Bombyx mori: one gene and its partner. The protein of the gene in region 1 interacts with the protein of each later gene in a biochemical or structural test. Links are inferred from orthologs where the notes say so. Each region holds a gene or a part of one and is shown on either strand. Other genes may lie near its edges.

Region 1 (5,971 bases):
AAAAAAAAAAAATTTTTGTAGTGCACGCTATCAATATTTTTTCTAAAGGTTTTACGGACCTTATGACATGAAACCGAAATTTCGACTACAAAACAGCTAAACCACCGCACGCGATTATCTGGAATGAGTTACTGCTTCGCCGCAGAAGTCGGCAGGACGGCGTTATCTAAATCGCAAAGAAAACTATGCGAACCTCACATATGTTTGTTGCAGATTCCGGTATAAATGCGAGGGCCGGTCGGCGGGCTCGCTCCCGGGCGTGTCCAGTACTCCGGAGAACAAAACTTATCCTACAATCAAGATATGCTCTTACAAGGGACCGGCCACCATAGTCGTGTCCTGCGTCAACAAGGATCCCCCGTTTAAGTAAGTGTCGTCTTTTTTTTTCTAAAATATTGTTACGCGCTGGTGTTCTATAAATAAAATTTCACCAAACTACAACAAAAAAACTGTATTAAAGACTTGGAACACTTAAACACTTCACAAACACTTTAAAACACTCAATTCGCTTGTTCCGCTTCGCTTCAGGTGATCCGTTCGCTGTTTCGCTTCGAGTAGTTCCGTTTACTGACTGACTGCGTGCGGGTTTACTTTGCTTATTTTTGGTGACATGTGGGGTGATTATGTCGCAGTGGTTATTTATTTTTTTACACATATTGACAACCTACACATTGTCTATGCTTGAAAACGAAACGCATTTTCGGGGATTCCCATGAATAATAATACGTTTACGTACTCGCTTGGAACAGAGTAGGGGAATTATTGCGCGCATATAAGTGAATATGATGTGCGTTAAAGTACTCTATCCTATAAGCCTATTTTCTTATTTTTAGAATTATAATTGCTGCTCATTAATCATTAAAAAAATTAGAATACGTTAGTAGAAAAATTCATATACTAATGTTCACGTTAGCATTTGGGGTCAGAGCTTTGTTTACTTATGCTGACAAGGGGAAAGGGGGGGTGAATGATTGTAATAAATTTGCTTACGTAATACTGGAACAAGGTCTTCTTCCAATGAATTCCGATCATACACAAATGAATTTTCAATAATAACACAATTTGGTTCGCGGTGTTGCAATATGTCGATTTCGAATTGTTCGAGATGATACCGTCATCTCGTTTTTACCATCCCACCGCCCGCCATCGGAATAGAGTTCATCCACAGTACGTTTCCAGAGGTCTTTTTTGCCGCGTACCATCCGGCTATGGAATGAGCCCCTCCACGGTGTTTCCCGAGCGCTATGACATGTTCTTCTTCAAACGAGTTAAGCGGTAGGCAGCGGCTTGGGTCTGCCCCTGGCAATGCTGAAGTCCATGGGCGACGGTATCCACTCACCATCAGGTGGACCGTGTGCTCGTCTGCCTACAAGGGCATTATTCCCTGGGCGTTGTCCTGCGGAGTTGTATGTATGTACCTGTTACGTGTGTGGTGACGCGCAGACCGCACCCGCACAACCTGGTGGGGCGGGAGCGCTGCGACCGCGGCGTGTGCTCGGTGCGCACCGACGTCACGGAGGACAACAACGAGTACCAGTTCAGGAACCTTGGGATACAATGCGTCAAGCGCAAGGACATCGTCGCCGAGCTGCGCCTCCGGGAGGAGCTCAGGGTGGACCCCTTCAGGAGTGAGTTCTATTAGAATCCAATTTTTTTATTCTAGGAATAATCACACGTTCACGTCACGCAATACACGAACACAAATAGTTTGGTAGAGTCGTGTTTCGAGCTATATAATTTTTAAAGGTCTCTAAACGTTGACGTCATTATACAAAATACTGCTTTCTGTGTCTGTCTGGTATGACTCGTAACATCAAATCCGTTTGCGAACTAAAAGTGCGTTTATTAAGATCAGATTTGAGAGAAGACGCCCAGTTGCAGTCATTCAGTTGTTACAAGTATGCGCCAGTATAGTAAGGTTCGCGAAGGGACCAAAGCTTTTGAATTGAGATCGTATAACGTATTTTGTTTACAAAGTACAACTTATTGCTAGCTTTGTACTGCCACGGGCTCCGATGCGTTACCCGAAATAGCTCGTCCAAAAATATCCCTAATTGTTCAACTACACGCGCGACCGCCATGGAAGGAAATGCGGGTCGGCGCGCCGGATCACTCAAAATTTCGGTCAAATATTTATGAAATAAATAGAAATTTAATTTATGGTGACGGTTTCATGAGGAGGTGACAGGACGTCTTGTGAGTCCGCACGGGTAGGTACTACCACTCTGCCTATTCCTGCCCTGAAGCAATAATACTTTACGGTTTTAAGGTAGGGACAGCCGTTGTACAGTAAAAAAACGGAGACCTTAGAACTCATGTCTCGAAGTCGATTACGCCATTTACGTTGTAGTTATGCCCCGATAACCACTTAAAACCAGGTGGACCGTGAGCTCGTCCAACAGCAATAAATAACAAAAACACAAATGAAGACGTGTCAAGTTGTTCATAATTTCGTCGCTCCTCGTAATTAACGACATAAATATCAAAATCTTGTTTATTGCCATTTAAGTTTATCATAGAAGAGCACACAGCCCACCAGAAAGCAATGCTGGATCTAAAGTCGGAGAGTGGCGCCTACCGCACCGCTTCCGAGCGCCTGCCATCTGGCTTCCTCTGGCCTCACTAGAGAAAGCCGGATGGCGACACGTGCTAGTGTAGGTCGGGTGCATGTAAAGTGTACGTTTGGCACAGCGGGGTTCGACCACCGCTCGCACACGCAGAGCATCGACCTCAACGCGGTGCGGCTCGCCTTCCAAGTGTTCGTGCCGGACGGCGCCGGGCGCATGCGCCGGCCGCTGCCCGCCGTCGTGTCCGACATCATCTACGACAAGAAGGCCATGAGCGACCTCCTCATCATGCGCTCCTCGCACTGCTCCGGCACCATCCGCGGCGGCACGCAGGTCATCCTGCTCTGCGAGAAGGTACGTCACTACTCTGTCGTCTTGTGTCCCTACCTCGCCCAAGAATAGCTTGTGAAGCCCGTTCTGTTTCTCCTGCGGAGAAAGCAAGGGTCCCCCCTTGAAGGGGGTCCAGAACAATAAATAAAATCCACTTCAATTAGAACTTCATATTCACGACTCAAAATGAGCGGTATCATCATACTGTGTTGGTACATTCTGCTAAATATTTAATACTGGGTAGGATGTAAGTTTTCTTTTTTCCAAAAAACATTCAAAACTCTAAACTCAGTGATCGATAACAATAATGGCGTCAATATTCAGGTATCGAAAGAAGACACGGCGGTGATATTCTACCAGGAGGTGAACGAGCAGATAGTGTGGGAGGAGACCGTGACGCCGTCCTACGTGCACAAGCAGGTCGCCGTGGTGTTCAACACGCCGCCCTACCGCGACCCCCAGCGCGACGAGCACGTCACCGTGAGTAGCGCGCCCGCCGCCCCGCCGCCCCCCGCCCCCCGCCCGCCCCCCTAACCACGCGCCTCCCGTTACAGGTACACTTCCAGCTGAAGAGGTTGACGGACGACGCGCGGAGCAACTCCTTCGCGTTCGAATACATCCCGGACTTCCGAGGTACCACTCGCCGTAAGCCGCCCCCGGACCTGTCCTTCCTCTCCCTTCTCCTCGCTGAGAAACGCGACACCAATAATAACAACAAGGATGAGGCCGTCTCCGTCCCCTCTTCCCCCGACCCCGTACCCTCGCCCCCGCCCCCCGACCCCGAGCCCGCCGCCGCCGAGACTAACGGACATGCGGAGCCGCACGAGAAGAGCCTCGACGATCTGCTGGAGCAGGTCGCCGAGCTCGACGAGATCTACTCTGAGAGCCGCAGTCGCCTGCAGCGCGCCGCCGACGCCGCCGACGCCGAGACCGACGCCGACGATTTCAACGACGCCGGCACCTACACCAGCCTGCAGCTCGCTTTCAAGAACCCGCTGCCCATCGCCGAGCCCGAGCCGCCGCCCTACGAGGACGTGCACGTGCAGACGTTTCGCGGCCCCATCGTCGAGTTCACGCCCTTGAAGCGCGACACGGACGAGGCGCCCCCCCTGCCCCCCAAGCGCGTCCGCAAGTCCGTCTCCTCGGAGTTCAGGTCCAGCCAGACGTCCGTGGAGAGCGCGGCGCGGCCGGCCCGCCTGCCGCCGCCCGACGAGAAGCTGTCGGCGGCCCGGAGCGAGCCGGCGCTGCCGCCCGCCAAGAAGCGCTCGTTCTTCTCGCGGCTGTTCCGGCGGCGCGACAAGTCCCCGGCGCCCAGCGTGCAGGAGGCGCGCGCGCGGCCGGTGGGGCGCTCCGTGAGCAGCGTGTCGGGGCAGCGGCCGGCGCGCTGGGCGGCGGGGGGCGCGGCGGGGGGTGCGGGCGGGGGGCTGCGCGCGGCGGACAGCGTGACGCACGTGTCGCTGCACGAGGACGTGTCGGTGTGCGCGGCGCCGCCGGCGGACGCGATCCTGGTGGCGGAGAGCGTGCTGGCGCTGGACGCGTCGTCGTTCCGGCGGCTGCAGGACGAGCTGGAGCTGACGGAGGCGGAGCACTACGCGCTGTACATGGCGCTGGCGCCGCGAGCCACCGCGTCCGAGTTCGACGACCAGAGCTCGTACTACTCCCCGCTGGACGGGAGCAACTTCCTTCGTCAATGAGGGGCTCCCTGTGCCCCCTCCCCCGAACCCCCACTTCTAGTCTAATTTACGCTTTCGTTACTATTTATTTTGTTAAGTTTTCGTTTTTCTTTGTTTTCGTTACAAATTGTTAATTAAAATATCTCATATACTTATTTGATTGTTGAGAAACTGTCGATTTGTCCGACTAATATTTTGATTTAAATTTTTTTAGATTCAAATTACATATTGGGTAAAAAGCGGAAGACCAAAATGCCATTAATGGCCGCGTATGAGCAAGAAAGTAAGTCTACATCAATTTTTATCGATTTATTATCTAAAGAAGTTCCGATTGCAGCAAATTCTATAGTTTACATGAATAACGGTGAAAGGTAGAATTTGCTCACTGACGGGACCGCGCATTTTTTTAAATTAATTATTTAAATATGTATCATTACATGTTATTTACATTTATACGGTGAAGGGTATCATCATTAAACTATGATTTACTCCACACATACGTCGTGCATTTGTTTCTTACATTTTTGTCATAAAAAATGATTGTTAGAAACAATTTTTATATAAACTTTTACTAAAACAAAATCTGTTGAAATTCTCAAAAAATACACACCAACTTTGTCTGATTATTTTAAAATTTATTTAAAAAGAAATGTATTTCCAACAAAATTTATTATGTATAATTAAACACAACATATATTCTTATATCTTATACCGCATTCTATATTTATAAGATTAATATAAATATTGGTGCTTCGCACATGGCAACCCCTAAATGTTGCCACACCACAAATGAATAGTTTACATTGAAAACGATGCGTTCAGTTTAATTGATTATTTTAACAACTAATGTTTTCTTCTAATATGATATAAGTTTAGGATTTATTTATTTAATGGCAGTGGATGTTACTAACAAATATTTTGGTGTTGAATAAAAAAAAATACAAAAAATGTTGCGTAAAAAATTAGGGTAGGGTATATGTTGTTCTCATTGTTGTTTTTTTTAAAACGAAGGTATACCTTTAAGTTCTAAAGAAAAATCAGTTCCAATATGATTGGTATGAGCTTATGAAACACAAAATTAAATTATCAGTGCTGGTCTTAGAGCACCTACAACGAATGCGCTGGCATAGAGAGGAAACGCGGGGCGCACTAGGGGCGGAATGTCCGGCCCCGGTCCCCCTCGCCACACAGCCACACAAACAATTTTTCATCATCCGATTTATCTTTGCCTCCGCCGGGACCCATGTATCTATTACATACAAAAGGAATTAACAATAGGACCAATTACAATTGCAAAGTTTTAAAAAATTAACTAAATATCAATTTAACTATTTTTGTAGGTTTCGCTTTTATAATGTTGTACTTATGAAGTGTATTCAAGTGATGTCCTAAGACAAGCGG
Region 2 (4,935 bases), about 16 Mb from region 1:
ATAAAGACAAACAATATTTAATCTAATCTCAATTTGACAACAAACGTCAAGAACAAAAGTTTGACAGTAAATAGTATGCATGCGTGTGTGCGTCAAATACATGGTATGTAGTGTGTGTAATGTTTTCTTTCTTGATTTAATGTATCTTTTATACATTATTTTAATAAAATATTAGCATTGTGCACTTCTTCTCTATATTCTGTATAAATGTGGAAAATTTCATACTCCTCCGTCCGCGCAATTTTCGTAAAAAGGGATACAAAGTTTTTGCTTCACGTATTAATATATAGATATGTGACCCCGCTCTATCCGGGAGTCATCTGTCATACCAAGAGTCAGTGACAGTCGATTCTACAAGCTCAAATATATGCCACTAGAACATTGTGATTTTTTGGTCTATTACATGTGCACAAATTTAGTTATTTATTGAGACTAAGCCACAAGGCGCCACGCGCGATCTCTAGCATCATCACGTCACAGTCTTCACACGACTGACCCCAGCCTGATGTTATTGAAAGTTGAAACGGTTCATACATTATACTCGTTCCGGTAATAAAATAGGTCTATAGTTCAGAAGTACGAACATATGTATATAAATAGAGATATTATTTTACAAAACTACATTAAATATGGAAATTAGTGTGTCAGAATATTCATTGAATATCGTCGCCACGTAAAGTGTTATTATATTGATAATTAAATTAAATACTTACGACCTGAATTCATATTCCAATAAATAAGTAGTTTTTTTAAATATTAAGCAAAATCCCTGTCTTTGCGAACTGATAGATGGAACTGTTCTTATCAGCGACTCTAGGAGAATAAACGAAAGTAGCCCTCAAAGGATCTGATGCGGTTGGATACAGAATCCAAATCACTCACACACTCATTGAATATTGTAATCGAATCAGTTTTTTTTTTTTTGTGTATAATGAAGTAATGCCAATGTCCATAACGGAAAATTCAAAAAGGTAAAACAGAAACAGTCGATTCGGGAAAACCCTCTTTCAGCACTATCTCCTGATAACGTTGATAATAAAATTGGGTTTTTCTGTACGTAAACACGTTTTGTTGTTTTAGTAACGATATAAGCTTGCCTACGTGTATCCTTGTGTCATTGTTTTGTTCCCAACTCGTATGTTTCGAAAAACACAAAGAATTCCCACTGTTTACAGAAAAAAGAGAAATGTATTCAATTCAGCAGTAATTAGTTTCTTGATATACCTACGTTCTTATAATATATGTAGGTAGGTAATATTTATGTAGAATTGTTACAATGAAATAATCTAAAATTTATCGTGACTCATATTATATGCTCGTAATTTTAAATATAATGTCGTTGTAACAGACAACTAAGGAAATTATTTTCAAAATTGAAGTAAACCGTTCGGTCTACGAGCCCAGGGAACATAGTTTGCTGTAGAAGCAGTTACGGATTTGGTCGGGGAACAAACATACCGATATGTAGAAAAAAAAACCGATTTGTTTGCACACAAAATAGATGCTTTTATATATTCAAATAAATATTCTGTATTATTAAAACATAACGCGTAAAAACAGGAAAACCTGAAAATTTACCGCAGTTTCACTGTGTGATTTTATCACGTTATTATTGCTTTCCAAATCTGCGAAAGAGTATATTTTTGTAATAAGTGGGTTTGCCAATGATTGTACATTTATTTATTGCTTAGATGGGTGGACGAGCTCACAGCCCACCTGGTGTTAAGTGGTTACTGGAGCCCATAGACATCTACAACGTAAATGCGCCACCCACCTTGAGATATAAGTTCTAAAGTCTCAAGTATAGTTACAACGGCTGCCCCACCCTTCAAGCCGAAACGCATTACTGCTTCACGGCTGAAATAGGCGGGGTGGTGGTACCTACCCGCGCGGACTCGCAAGAGGTCCTACCACATGTGGCGAGGGTCAGAGAGACGTAGCTTTGGACCCGAGTGCGGTCGTTGAATTAACTTGTTGTGTCTGTGGTGATCAGGAGAGGCTGGCGGGGTGGACGGCGCTGCACATCGCGGCGCGGCGCGGGGACGCGCGGCTCGTGGCGTTCCTGCGCGAGCGGGCGCGGGGCGCGGGGGGCTGGCGCGACCAGGCCGGCCGCACGCCGCGCTGGTACGCACGCCGCAACGCCGCCCGCCACGCCTTCGGCCCGCTCAGACCGGACAGCGACTCCGATTGGGACTCCGATGATGATGTAAGTTAGCTGTCCACACGAATCGACTAGTGGCTATAGATGATAGCTCTATGCCACTCCTTATTTATATCACAAGTATCCACTTGTAACAGCACTGTTTCTAAAATAATAATAATAACAAGCCTGTTATTCCATGCAAATAGTAGGTTACATACCGCCCATACACAGAGCCTCCCAAAAGGTGGACCGACGACCTATTGAGGTTCTGGAATTCACCGGATGCAGGCAACGCAGAACCGGTCGTTGTGGCGAGGCTTCGGGGAGGCCTATGTCCAGCAGTTCACGTCTGTAGGCTGAAAGATAGATAGATATACACATACGTCAGGATGTAACCCTGTTGCTCTCCATCCACATGGACTAATGAAAACTATCCCCACTCTATTTATCATTTTTATTCGGAGAAACCATATCACCCAGATGACTGCAACTAATATTATGTTTACACCCTTGGTGTATTCTTATATAAGTTTGAAGCTGTCCAGTTTCCACGTTTATTTAATATCAGTAGGCATTTCTCTTTGCAAAACTAATAAACTAATATGTCGTTGTCCATAGACGAACGACAGCGACAACGAGAGTCTGTACGAGAAGATCAAGGAGTCCCGGAGCGGCTCGTCGATAAACGTCGCCTAGGACACCAGGACACCGCCCCCTCGCCCCCCGCCCCGGACACAGGCGGACCTCACCCCGCGCCCCCCTGCGCGACCTCAACGCCGCCTTGGATAATGTTATTACGTTCCAATCTGATATGTATCATAGTTTATTAATTTCTATAATATAAGCAGAGTTAATTATGTATATGAAACAGAGTTTGTTTGTCAGTCGTCGATGGTCGGAATGAACGTGTAACAAAACAGCAGGTCCATTTTTACAAAACGAGTTTGCCTCGAAAAATCTGTCCTGTGCTCTCCGTCTCAAATGTTGTCGACATCGAAATGATCGTCGTTAAAGTTATAAAGTTGTTAATGAATCGGACAAGAGAAGCGCCCGGACGGATGTACAGTGTGCTGTATGTAGCATAGCGTATTGTAGTCTTCCTTAGGAAATGTTCAATATTATTGATACTGTATAAATAGATTTGAATACTTCTAGTTAAAGTTACGCTTACGAATAATGTTGTTTAGTCATAGTTATTTAATTAAAACATTTGTTTTTGAAACTTCGCCTTTTCATTTCGAACTCTGTACCTCTGAGGACATTTTTTTCGAGGAAAAATCGTTGGTCGTTTGTGTCGCGATGTGACGTCACAGGGATGATGTCACTATTACATTAAGGGTGCTCCATATACGATCGCACGGAGCACCGACGCGGGCGGGGCCACGGGTCGTGTGCGGACCGCCCTATGCGCATCTGTTAACAAATATCCAGATTTAGATTGGAAAATATTCTTTCAAGAAAAAAAATTTTTGCGATTTTAGGGTCGTCACAACCGATCGTCTCTCAGTTAACTGTTGCATATCAATAAGGGTTTGTTTGAGCATTTAGTACATGCGATGCGATGCGATGCTAAGTCGGCTGCGACGCGATCGTTAGGGCCCCTAGTGGCGGTAAAAATAAATAATGACGTGTATGTAACATACATACTAAAAAAAAAATTATTTATGTACTCTGCGTATATTTCATATGAATATTCATCTATTATTTAGTGTGCATAATTAAATTATAATCTCAAAATTTTATAATTAATATAAATCTTGGTTATCTCAAAGATCGTTCTCATGCGAGTTTTGAAAAACGCAAGTATTTTATTGTAGCTTCAGAAGCTTTGTCTTGCTCGAACTTTTAAGTAAGCGGCAGTTAAGTCAGGGCCTAATTAGACGCGATTGAGGAAAATAGCCAAAAGAAAACAATAAATCTGAATACAGCAACTGTTTTCTATTTCATGTTTTCTCGATTCTGGGAAATTAATATTAAATATAACGTATATAGTACTTGCATTTTTAAAAATTGAAATGACAGAAAAAATATGTTAAGCCGAAACCCCCTTTATTTATTAGTTAATAATATTTATATAAAGACAATAGGATCCGGCGCGCTCTCTCACAGAACCGACTCGACGGACCGCAGGTTCGGGGGTCGCCACGAGCCTCGCCGACGTCACCGAAATACTCTGTACTTTCCAAATTATATGAATCCCACCTCTAAGTTAGATGGAACAGGGAAACAACACATTAAATATTACAACATGTTCCTTTCACATACAAAAATAAAATGTTAGAATGAACGACTAATACGTATTATGTAATGATTATAAATATATGGGTGACAAGTGTAATAATATCATAAAAATATACATTGTATACAGCGGCTAAGCTGCTTGCCGTGTTTATATTGTTGTATGAAAATAAATTACATATATTTTATCAAAATTTGTTTTAATTCGGTTAACTAACGTTCTGTGTGCGCTTGCACATTCTACTTCACGAGTTACGGCATAGTTCAGTTACCAGTTAGCACCTCTAACAAATTTTTATAGGTGTCAGAATTTAGAGACAAGAATCGTTTCTAGAAAGTTCCGCCCGTGCGTCGCGTGGCAGCCCTATGCTCCGTCTAGACGCGATGCTGCGGGCCTCTGATACTATCACAAGTCTGCGCGCTGTATGTCTACGTCATCGAATTTAAAACGAAACCGCGAGCGATGTTTTGTCGTCACTGGATTTGTGTTCGCAGACTGACAACTCACCCGGCGCGGCGGTGAGTAGTCGCTGATGAGTAGGTATCGACCGAGG

Evidence for each region.
Region 2: the proteins of Dorsal (region 1) and cact form a complex in vitro, tested with the Drosophila melanogaster proteins (2 studies listed by BioGRID). The link is inferred for Bombyx mori from reciprocal best matches to the Drosophila melanogaster genes dl and cact.

What each region holds. Positions count from the first base shown.
Region 1 is NC_085118.1:1,075,520-1,081,490, forward strand, and holds the end of Dorsal (embryonic polarity protein dorsal), read left to right. Parts: intron 1-213; coding exon 214-366; intron 367-1,443; coding exon 1,444-1,628; intron 1,629-2,691; coding exon 2,692-2,921; intron 2,922-3,221; coding exon 3,222-3,377; intron 3,378-3,451; coding exon 3,452-4,591; 3' UTR 4,592-4,755; downstream 4,756-5,971. UniProt on the Drosophila melanogaster protein: Embryonic developmental transcription factor. The lateral or ventral identity of a cell depends upon the concentration of this protein in its nucleus during the blastoderm stage.
Region 2 is NC_085118.1:17,178,162-17,183,096, forward strand, and holds the end of cact (cactus), read left to right. Parts: intron 1-1,993; coding exon 1,994-2,206; intron 2,207-2,761; coding exon 2,762-2,839; 3' UTR 2,840-3,365; downstream 3,366-4,935. UniProt on the Drosophila melanogaster protein: Involved in the formation of the dorsoventral pattern. It inhibits nuclear translocation of the dorsal morphogen in the dorsal region of the embryo. Acts as a negative regulator of the NF-kappa-B (rel) signaling pathway.